Linked DNA regions of Macaca fascicularis. The main gene of each other region encodes a partner of the protein of the gene in region 2 in a complex. Links are inferred from orthologs where the notes say so. Each region holds a gene or a part of one and is shown on either strand. Other genes may lie near its edges.

Region 1 (3,566 bases), on a different chromosome or scaffold from region 2:
GCGCCCGCCACCTTGCCGGGCTAGTTTTTTGTATATTTTAGTAGAGATGGGGTTTCACCGTGTTAGCCAGGAAGGTCTCGATCTCCTGACCTCGTGATCCACCCATCTCGGCCTCCCAAAGTATTAAGGATATTTTTAAATGGGAGAAATGCATTCAAGAAATTCTGAAGGTTTTTTTTCTTTTCAGAAATATTCCCAAGAGATTCTAACTTAAAAGACAAATTCATAAAGCATTTCACAGGTAAGTACAAAATTTATCAGTGATTCTATTAACTAAATAAAAAGAATGTGTACAGGTTACTATGTCAGGCACTAGGAATATGAAAATAAATGTCTGTAAGTGACTCATGGTCCAGTTGGGGAGATGGACGGATGCTACTAACTTGTGTTAACTGTAATGTAAACCAGCCCTTAATAAGTAATAGAAGTATGAACCACTTTTTAAGGATACACAGGAAGTGAATAATGTGACCAAGAACTACCAAGAAAGGCTTGTAGTAGACACAGTATTTAAGGTGGGCTTTAAGGGATGAATAAGGCTTTCCCGTGGTGAGAGAGACCTTCTCTTCAGAAGGAGTGCATTGAGTAAGCCATGAAGGCACAGGGTGTGGTTTAGGCAAGGACAGGTATGCATGGACTGTGGGTGGGCTTAGGTATGTGGGGCGTATGTGGCCCTGGTCAAGTATATGGCTGGAAAGGTAGCTTGGAGTCACGTTGTGGATAATCTTAAATGGCATGCTGGGGAATTCAGACTATGTTCCCCAGTCTGGTGAGGGGTAGGGAGAGAGGGGGCAATAGAAATGTTTTGAATAGGGAGGGACAGACTTTCATATACTACATCTTTTAAAAATATATTTGTTTATTAATTATTATTATTATTTTCTGAGACAGAGTTTCGCTCTTGTTGCCCAGGCTGGTGTGCAGTGGCGTGATCTCGGCTCACTGCAACCTCCGCCTCCCGGTTCAAGCAATTCTCCTGCCTCAGCCTCCCAAATAGCTGGGATTACAGGCATGCACCACCATGCCTGGCTACTTTTTTGTATTTTTAGTAGAGATGGGGTTTCACCATGTTGGTCAGGCTGGTGTCAAACTCCTGGCCTAAGCGATCCGCCCGCTTCGGCCTCCAAGTGTGAGCCACCGCGCCAGGTCAAAAATTTTTTATTTTTGAGACAGGGTCTGATTCCATCACTCAGGTTGGAGTTCAGTGGTGAGATCATGGCTCACTGCAGCCTTGAACAAATAGGCTCAAGGGATCCTCCCACCTCAGCCTCCGAAGTAGCTGAGACTACTGTGCCATCACACCCAGCTAATTTTTTATTTTCTTTAGAGATGGGGTCTCACTATGTTGCCCAGGTTGGTCTTGAACTCCTAGCTCAAGTGATCCTCCTGCCTTGGCCTCCCAAAGCATTGGGATTATAGTTGTGAGCCACTGCACCAGGCCCACCTGCCACATCGTAAGCACAGATAAATACTGTCCCATGACACTGTTTTGTTCTTCCTATCAACTTTGTGAATCATTTGCACATCATCCTATGCCCCAATTTCTAGCAAATCACTGAATTATTGTGAACAGTACACCCCCATATTTACTATTGGCATTACCTCTCTGTTCCCAGTCATCCCAGCTACTTTTTTTTCTTTTACACCTCAGGCCTGTGATGTGGGAAAGATGTGGTTTGCCCACTTAGTCAAGTCCAAGGGCCCTACCTGTTTATTAACAGAAAGGATGGTCCTCAGGATCAAGTGGAGATGCACCTGCAGGGCACAGGGATGTGTGGGGATGTTGAGCCTTTTGAGGCAGCTGTTAGTGACATGACTGTGGACCCCACGAGAAGCAGACACCAGAGGGACGGAGGGATGAACATTTTGTTGTTGTTGTTGTTCTGTGTGTTTTTTTTTTTTTTTTTTTTTTTTAAGAGATAGGGTCTTACTCTGTTGCTCAGGCTGGAGTGCAGTGGTGCAGTCATAGCTCACTGTAGCCTCCAACTCCTGGGCTCAAGGATCCTTCTGCCTCAGCCTCTACAGTAACTGAACTGGGACTACAGGTGTGTGCTGCCATGCCTGGCTAATTTTTTATTTTTATTTTTTGCAGAGACAGGGTCTCACTATGGTGCTTAGGCTGTTCTTGAACTCCTGAGCTCAAGTGATCCTCCTGCCTTGGCCTCCCAAAGTGCTGGGATTGCAGACGTGAGCCACTACTCCCCATCCGGGATGAAAGTCTTGATGGGCCCTACCTTGGATTTAAAGGGAGAGACAAAGGACTTCTCAAGGCCCTGCCCATTCCATTTTACAATTATCCTAGACACTAATACGACACAAATTACTATAATTAGAAAATGGAATAAATGTCTTGGCATGTAAACATTAATTGCTTTAGATAAAAACAGAAAGTAGAAACCAAAGATACTTATTTTTTGTACTTCTCATGCACTCAATTTGCTCTCTACAGTCTTTTTATTTTCTGTCCAGAACTTTTTCCTTTTAATTTTTCTACATAGTTGTACTACATGTGAAGATTCCATTATGTGAGATGTTGAGAATGTGGAATGAATTTAGATTATTTTTCATAGACCACAACTCTACCTCCCACAGAGCCTGGGTGGGGGAAGAGCTCTCAGGCATGTTCTTTTAAGGGCATGGAAGTATGTAAAGTGCTGTTATATTATGTCCACTCATAAAGTGCTAGGAAATTTGTTTGGAAAACATGCCTATGTTTATAATAAGCATTCTTTTCCTGTGCTCTAGGGCCAGTCACATTTTCACCAGAATGCAGCAAACATTTCCACCGACTCTATTACAATACCAGGGAGTGCTCAACACCAGCTTGTAAGTAACTTGGGTGGGTTTTTTTTTAAAAAAATTATCCAACAATAAATGTGTGTAATTTTAAACTTCAAATGTCTGTGGATGGGAAGAAGTAGACTAACCATTGACATTCTATTTATAACACTGATTTATAACACTGACAGTACCTAAGGTTTGTGTGTACTGTTGCTGTAAGGAATGAAACCATATTCTAATTGGGAATCTATTCAAATCTGATAATAGCCAGATTTCCTTAAAGACCAAAGTGTTTGTTAGGATTTAAACATTTTATCATGATTCAAATTCTTTGACATAAATAGGGTGCTGTCTCAAATAAATGAAAAAAAAAAATGAGATGACTGCGAACTCTAAGTAAAAATTTTTTCCTAAGTTATTTTAAAGTAAATATTTTTTATATCACATCATTTATATAATGATGCTGGATTTTTCTGAGTAATGATAGCATGTAAAAGTTGCTATAATGAATTCTTTTGGATACTTAAGTTACTGAAGTTAATAATAATTCTAAACATAATATTTAAGCACTATCATTTAAAGTGCCAAAATTATGACTATGTGTGGTAACTCCGTTTGCTGTTTCTAAATTCCTTTCTAAGCCTCAACTTTCCTTTTAAAGAACATGAATTCTAAGCATTTTGTTTCTTTTTAACTAGATTGCTCATCTTGAGGAGTATTGACTTTTACTCAGCATATTAAGTTGTATTTGTTATAATGTTTTTCAAAAACAACTTGTGTTTAGG
Region 2 (4,281 bases):
TATAGGGAGTCTTGTCTGCATGCTGATTTGCAATATATTCGACCTCCTTTTCTAAGAGCTCCTGCTTTGCCTGGAGCTGCTGAGAAGGGCTTAATGCCTCTCCCACACCTATCCTCCTGAGGGCTCCGGCCTGTACTGAGTTTCTAACATCACCTCACCCTCGGGCCTGCTCAGGTGCCCTCTCCAACGGTGCACCTACCCCGATAGCCGCCGCCGCCTCCGCCCGCAGTGCAGGCCCCGCCGCCGCCCCCGAAGCCGCCAGCCGCGGCCCAACCAAGGGTCGCCCAAGCCTCGGAGCAGCCCTGGCCGCCCTCCGCCCCCTCCTGCAGTGAGCGGCCGGCCTGCGGAGAGGGAGCCCGCGACGTCCAGCCGCCCCCACCACCTGCAGAGTGACAGCAGGAAGGTTGGCAGCCACACGGGGAGCACGCCCGCCTCTCCCCACAGCCCCGCGCCCTCACCTGCCGCCCCGCCTGTCCCGCCGCTTCCGGGCGCCTCCGAGCGGTTCTCCAGTTTCTCGGGGGCGGCCTGAGTCCGGCCTCGGTCCCGCGGCCTCAGGTAGGCCCGACCGCCGCCTCCGGCCGCCACCAGCAGCGGTTCCAGCTCTCCGGCGCGCACCTGTGGGACCAGCGGCGTGTTCCAGGACGCGCCCTCCAGCCGTCCAGGGGCACTGCCACTGGGCGAGGGCTCCCGCCCCGGAGGCCCGGATAAGGGCAGGGGCCCCCAGCCCAGCCCAGCTCAGGTATAGGGGGACCCCAACGGACGGACGGAGCGCGGGTGCGTGCGCGACCCTGGGGAGAGGATTAGGACCCCCACGCTGAGCGCTGAAGGGAGCACGTACCCGGAAAACGTAGGTGGCGCCCCCGCCACCCCCGCCGCCTCCCGCCCAGCGCCGCGACCCTGGGACCTCTTCGCTCCCATCCATCGCCGCGTGCTCTTCAACAGCTCGAGACTCCCCGAGGCAGACGAGCTGGCTCTCCGGGCTACCCTGCGGGCAGCGGGGGCGGGAATCGGCGGGGCCCGGGAGTCTCCCCTCGCTGTGCTGGTGACCCGGCACCGAGGAAAGCACGCTCCCCAGGCCCCCAGGCAGCCCTCGCCCCGCGGCGCCGGCGCCGCCCCATCCCCACTGGCTGCGCTCACTCCGGGACAGGCGTCCTCTCCCTGCTGCCCCACCAGGATGTACAGCGACTCCCCGAGACCGAGGGAGAAGATTGCTGAGACGAAGACGCCATGCGCCCGCGACAGGTGGTTCTTGGCGCCTTTGCCGCCCGCGGCTCCGTAGGCTGAGATCCTGCGGGGAGCGGTCGGTGAGTCCCCGGCCCTCGGTGCTAACAGAAGTTGGCAACAGAGAAGGCTCCAGAATTATTTTTTATCTGAGGGACTTGGAGGCTGCAATCGACTCTGACGGGATGGAAAGGGCAGGTTTGCACACCAAAAGTTCAGATATTACACTTATTTCAGGAGGGTTCGTGGAAATGTGGGGAGGCTCAAGTACCCCTTGGCGCCGCCCTGGTTGGGGGCCTTCCACTCGGTGTAAGAGGGTCCGGGTCAGGGCTAACTCGGTGGCAACTATTGCCACCTTGAAGGGCACTCAAGGTGGACCTCTCTGCGGAATACTCCGAGACACAAGGCGGTGCGCAAGTAGCCTTCGTTCCCCTGACGGTGAAACCTCCAACTAGCAGGTCACTGCCCACCCTACCCCCTCCCCGCACTTACAGATACTGGCCAGGGCCCGGCACGCGCCACAGCTGCACGCCTCTCAGCTGCCCGGCGGCCCCCACGGTCACCACCACGCTGGTCCCCGCGTAGGCCCCATCACATTGTGTCTGTGTGGGCCCATGCCGGCCGCTGGCCCCGCAGGTAGAAAACAGCCAGGACCCCTCGGTGCCTGAGAGCAAGGAGTGAGGCAAGGGTCGTCGAGCCCCTGGCTGGGCCAGAGGGGTCTGGTGTGGTGAGCGGAAGAGGAAGGAGGCGCCTAAAGCTCACCCAGAGAATTCAGCTGGGAGGCTGGCTCCAAGATGCTAGGCGGGGCGCTGACTTTCGGGTCCTGGGGGCCGGGACTTGCCAGCGGCAGGGGTGAGGACGGCTGAAAAGGCTCCTGGGACCCCGGGCTAGAGCAGAGAATGGCGCCTGAAAGGTGTTGGGAGAGGCGCAGGACATTAAGGCGGGTGGAAATAGGAAATAAAAGAAAGAGAGAACCCCGCAACAGCTGCCCTTGCGGTCGCGGCCACACCCCTCACCCTGCCCAGCCCCCCTCTCAGCCTGGAAGCCACTACCCGACTCCGGTCGCAGAAGCCCCGCGGGTGCTCGCTGATCGCTCTACCAGTTTCTCTCCTCGACCGCCCTTCCCAGAGAATAACTTAGGGGCTGCACTGAATTTGGTCCTGCAGCCTCTCCAATACTTTCCTCGACTTAGATTGGTTGCCCCGCCCCAAGGCAGTGCTGAGACCCCAAAGAATATTCCTCCTTCCCAAGCTGCGTGATCCAGACTCTGGGATTCGCACTACTTGGCACTTCTCCGCCCGCACTCCAGAAGCACGGACCGGAGAAATGTGGTTGTGAGAGTTCGAGGCCTCTGGAGGAACCACCGACACCTGGCCTGTTGCGACCGGCCACCCACAAGCCTAGGAAGGTGCCTTTGGCTGGACGGTCCCCTGACCGCCAGACAGCACTTACCCACAGCTCTGAACCACACCAGCAGCCGGCCCCAGCGTCCCATCCCTGTTAGGTCCACCCGGCAACAACAGCCCTTGCGGTCGTGGCCACACCCCTGTCAACCTGAAGTTGACAGCTCACTTGGCCACCGCAGCCCTGGCCGCCACTTACAGGGGTGTGCTGCGGCCGGCGAGACACTCCCTGGACCTAAAGCCGGCCTGGCCACGCCCACCTCAGACCCCAGGACGCCAGAGGAGGAAAGGGAGGGGCGTGTGGGCAGCGAGGTCCCTACGCTTCCGGGAGGAGCCTTAAGGAGTCCCCACCCAGGGGCTCTAGTCTCCAGCCGTCAGATGTGCCGCAGCCTGCTGGGAGCTGGGGTAGGTTTGAGGCCGGAGAGGAGGTGCCCCACTCTTAAAGCGGGAGCTACACCTCGGACACCAGGTGGGGGCTTCCAGGTTCCTGAGGACAGGAGCGGCGGAGTGTGCACTTCATTTGTGGTAGTGGTGGTGGTGGGTGTGTGGCACATGTCATCACACGTGGGAAGTACTCTCTAAACTGCCCCAAGTAAGGCCTCATCACCTGCCATTACTTGTGCCTTTCAGTGGTGCCTTTGTGACTGCAAGGCTGAACCTCCCTGCTACCCCCAGAAACCTGGATCTCTGTGTTTGCCTAATATAATTCCGTTGCCCGTGTTACCCCTGTGCACAGCTTCTCACTGTGATGGGGTAAAAGACTGGACCAGACGTTAGAAGATCTGAGTGCTTTTAGTAGCACTGAAGGACGATAGATGATAGGTAGACAGATCGATCGATCGATTGATCTTGAGCACTAGTACTAGCACCTCTGGTAAATGGGTGATGTAGCACAGGCCACAATTGCTCTGAGAGTTTCCCCACCACCTGCAAAATCATATGAAGGGAAATTGCTCTGTAAGCTACAAGGTACCCTACAAATGTGGGAGCCACTCCTTTCAGGTAGTTTTGTGTCTTGAGTCTTCGATCATTTGCTTAAAATTCTAACTTGAGGGCCGGGTGCAGTGGCTCATGCCTATAATCCTAGCACTTTGGGAGGCCGAGGCAGGCAGATCACCTGAGGTCAGAAGTTTGAGACTAGATAGACCAACATGGCAAAACCCCATCTCTACTAAAAATACAAAATTAGCCAGGCGTGGTAGTGCACGCCTGTAATCCCAGCTACTCGGGAGGCTGAGGCAGAGAATTGCTTGAACCCGGAAGGCGGAGGTTGCAGTGAGCCAAGATTGCACCACTGCACTCCAGCCTGGGCGACATAGTGAGACTCCGTCTCAACAAAACAAACAAAAAACAAAAAAACCTCCTGGTCTCTATTCCCTAGTTATCACTATGAGATCACGGAATTTACCTTGCAAGGCCTCTTTAGGCCACTGCTCTTCAAATTGTGGTTGTGTAGTTGGTTCTGAATATCAGCATCAGTATCACCTGGGAACTTGTTAGAAATGCAGATTCTTGGGTTTCACCCCAGACGTACTGAATCAGCAGCTTCTGGTGGTAGGGCCCAGTTATCCTTTTTAAAATACCATCCAGGTGATTTTTGTCACAAAGTTTGAGAATCATTGGTATTTGCTGATACAGTAGTTGCTTAATAAAACCT

Evidence for each region.
Region 1: the proteins of LTK (region 2) and ALKAL1 are in contact, whole or in part, in a crystal structure (PDB 7NX0), measured with the Homo sapiens proteins. The link is inferred for Macaca fascicularis from reciprocal best matches to the Homo sapiens genes LTK and ALKAL1. Residues at the interface, in NP_002335.2 of Homo sapiens: Tyr124, His140, Phe143, Ala250, Ser251, Pro252, Glu253, Leu359, Phe360, Leu361, Gln362, Leu364, Ala365, Val366, Glu368, Glu372, Glu374, Arg376; in NP_997296.1 of Homo sapiens: His93, Arg96, Leu97, Asn100, Thr101, Arg102, Glu103, Arg112, Arg115, Leu116, Arg119, Leu120, Ser123.

Annotation. Positions count from the first base shown.
Region 1 is NC_088382.1:62,477,993-62,481,558, reverse strand, and holds part of ALKAL1 (ALK and LTK ligand 1), read left to right. Parts: intron 1-187; coding exon 188-241; intron 242-2,745; coding exon 2,746-2,826; intron 2,827-3,566. UniProt on the Homo sapiens protein: Cytokine that acts as a physiological ligand for receptor tyrosine kinase LTK, leading to its activation. Monomeric ALKAL1 binds to LTK, leading to LTK homodimerization and activation.
Region 2 is NC_088381.1:18,073,680-18,077,960, forward strand, and holds the start of LTK (leukocyte tyrosine kinase receptor), read right to left. Parts: upstream 2,862-4,281; 5' UTR 2,717-2,861; coding exon 2,674-2,716; intron 2,128-2,673; coding exon 1,984-2,127; intron 1,886-1,983; coding exon 1,714-1,885; intron 1,289-1,713; coding exon 1,138-1,288; intron 986-1,137; coding exon 839-985; exon of another isoform or gene 616-838; coding exon 459-615; intron 383-458; coding exon 200-382; intron 1-199. UniProt on the Homo sapiens protein: Receptor with a tyrosine-protein kinase activity. Following activation by ALKAL1 or ALKAL2 ligands at the cell surface, transduces an extracellular signal into an intracellular response.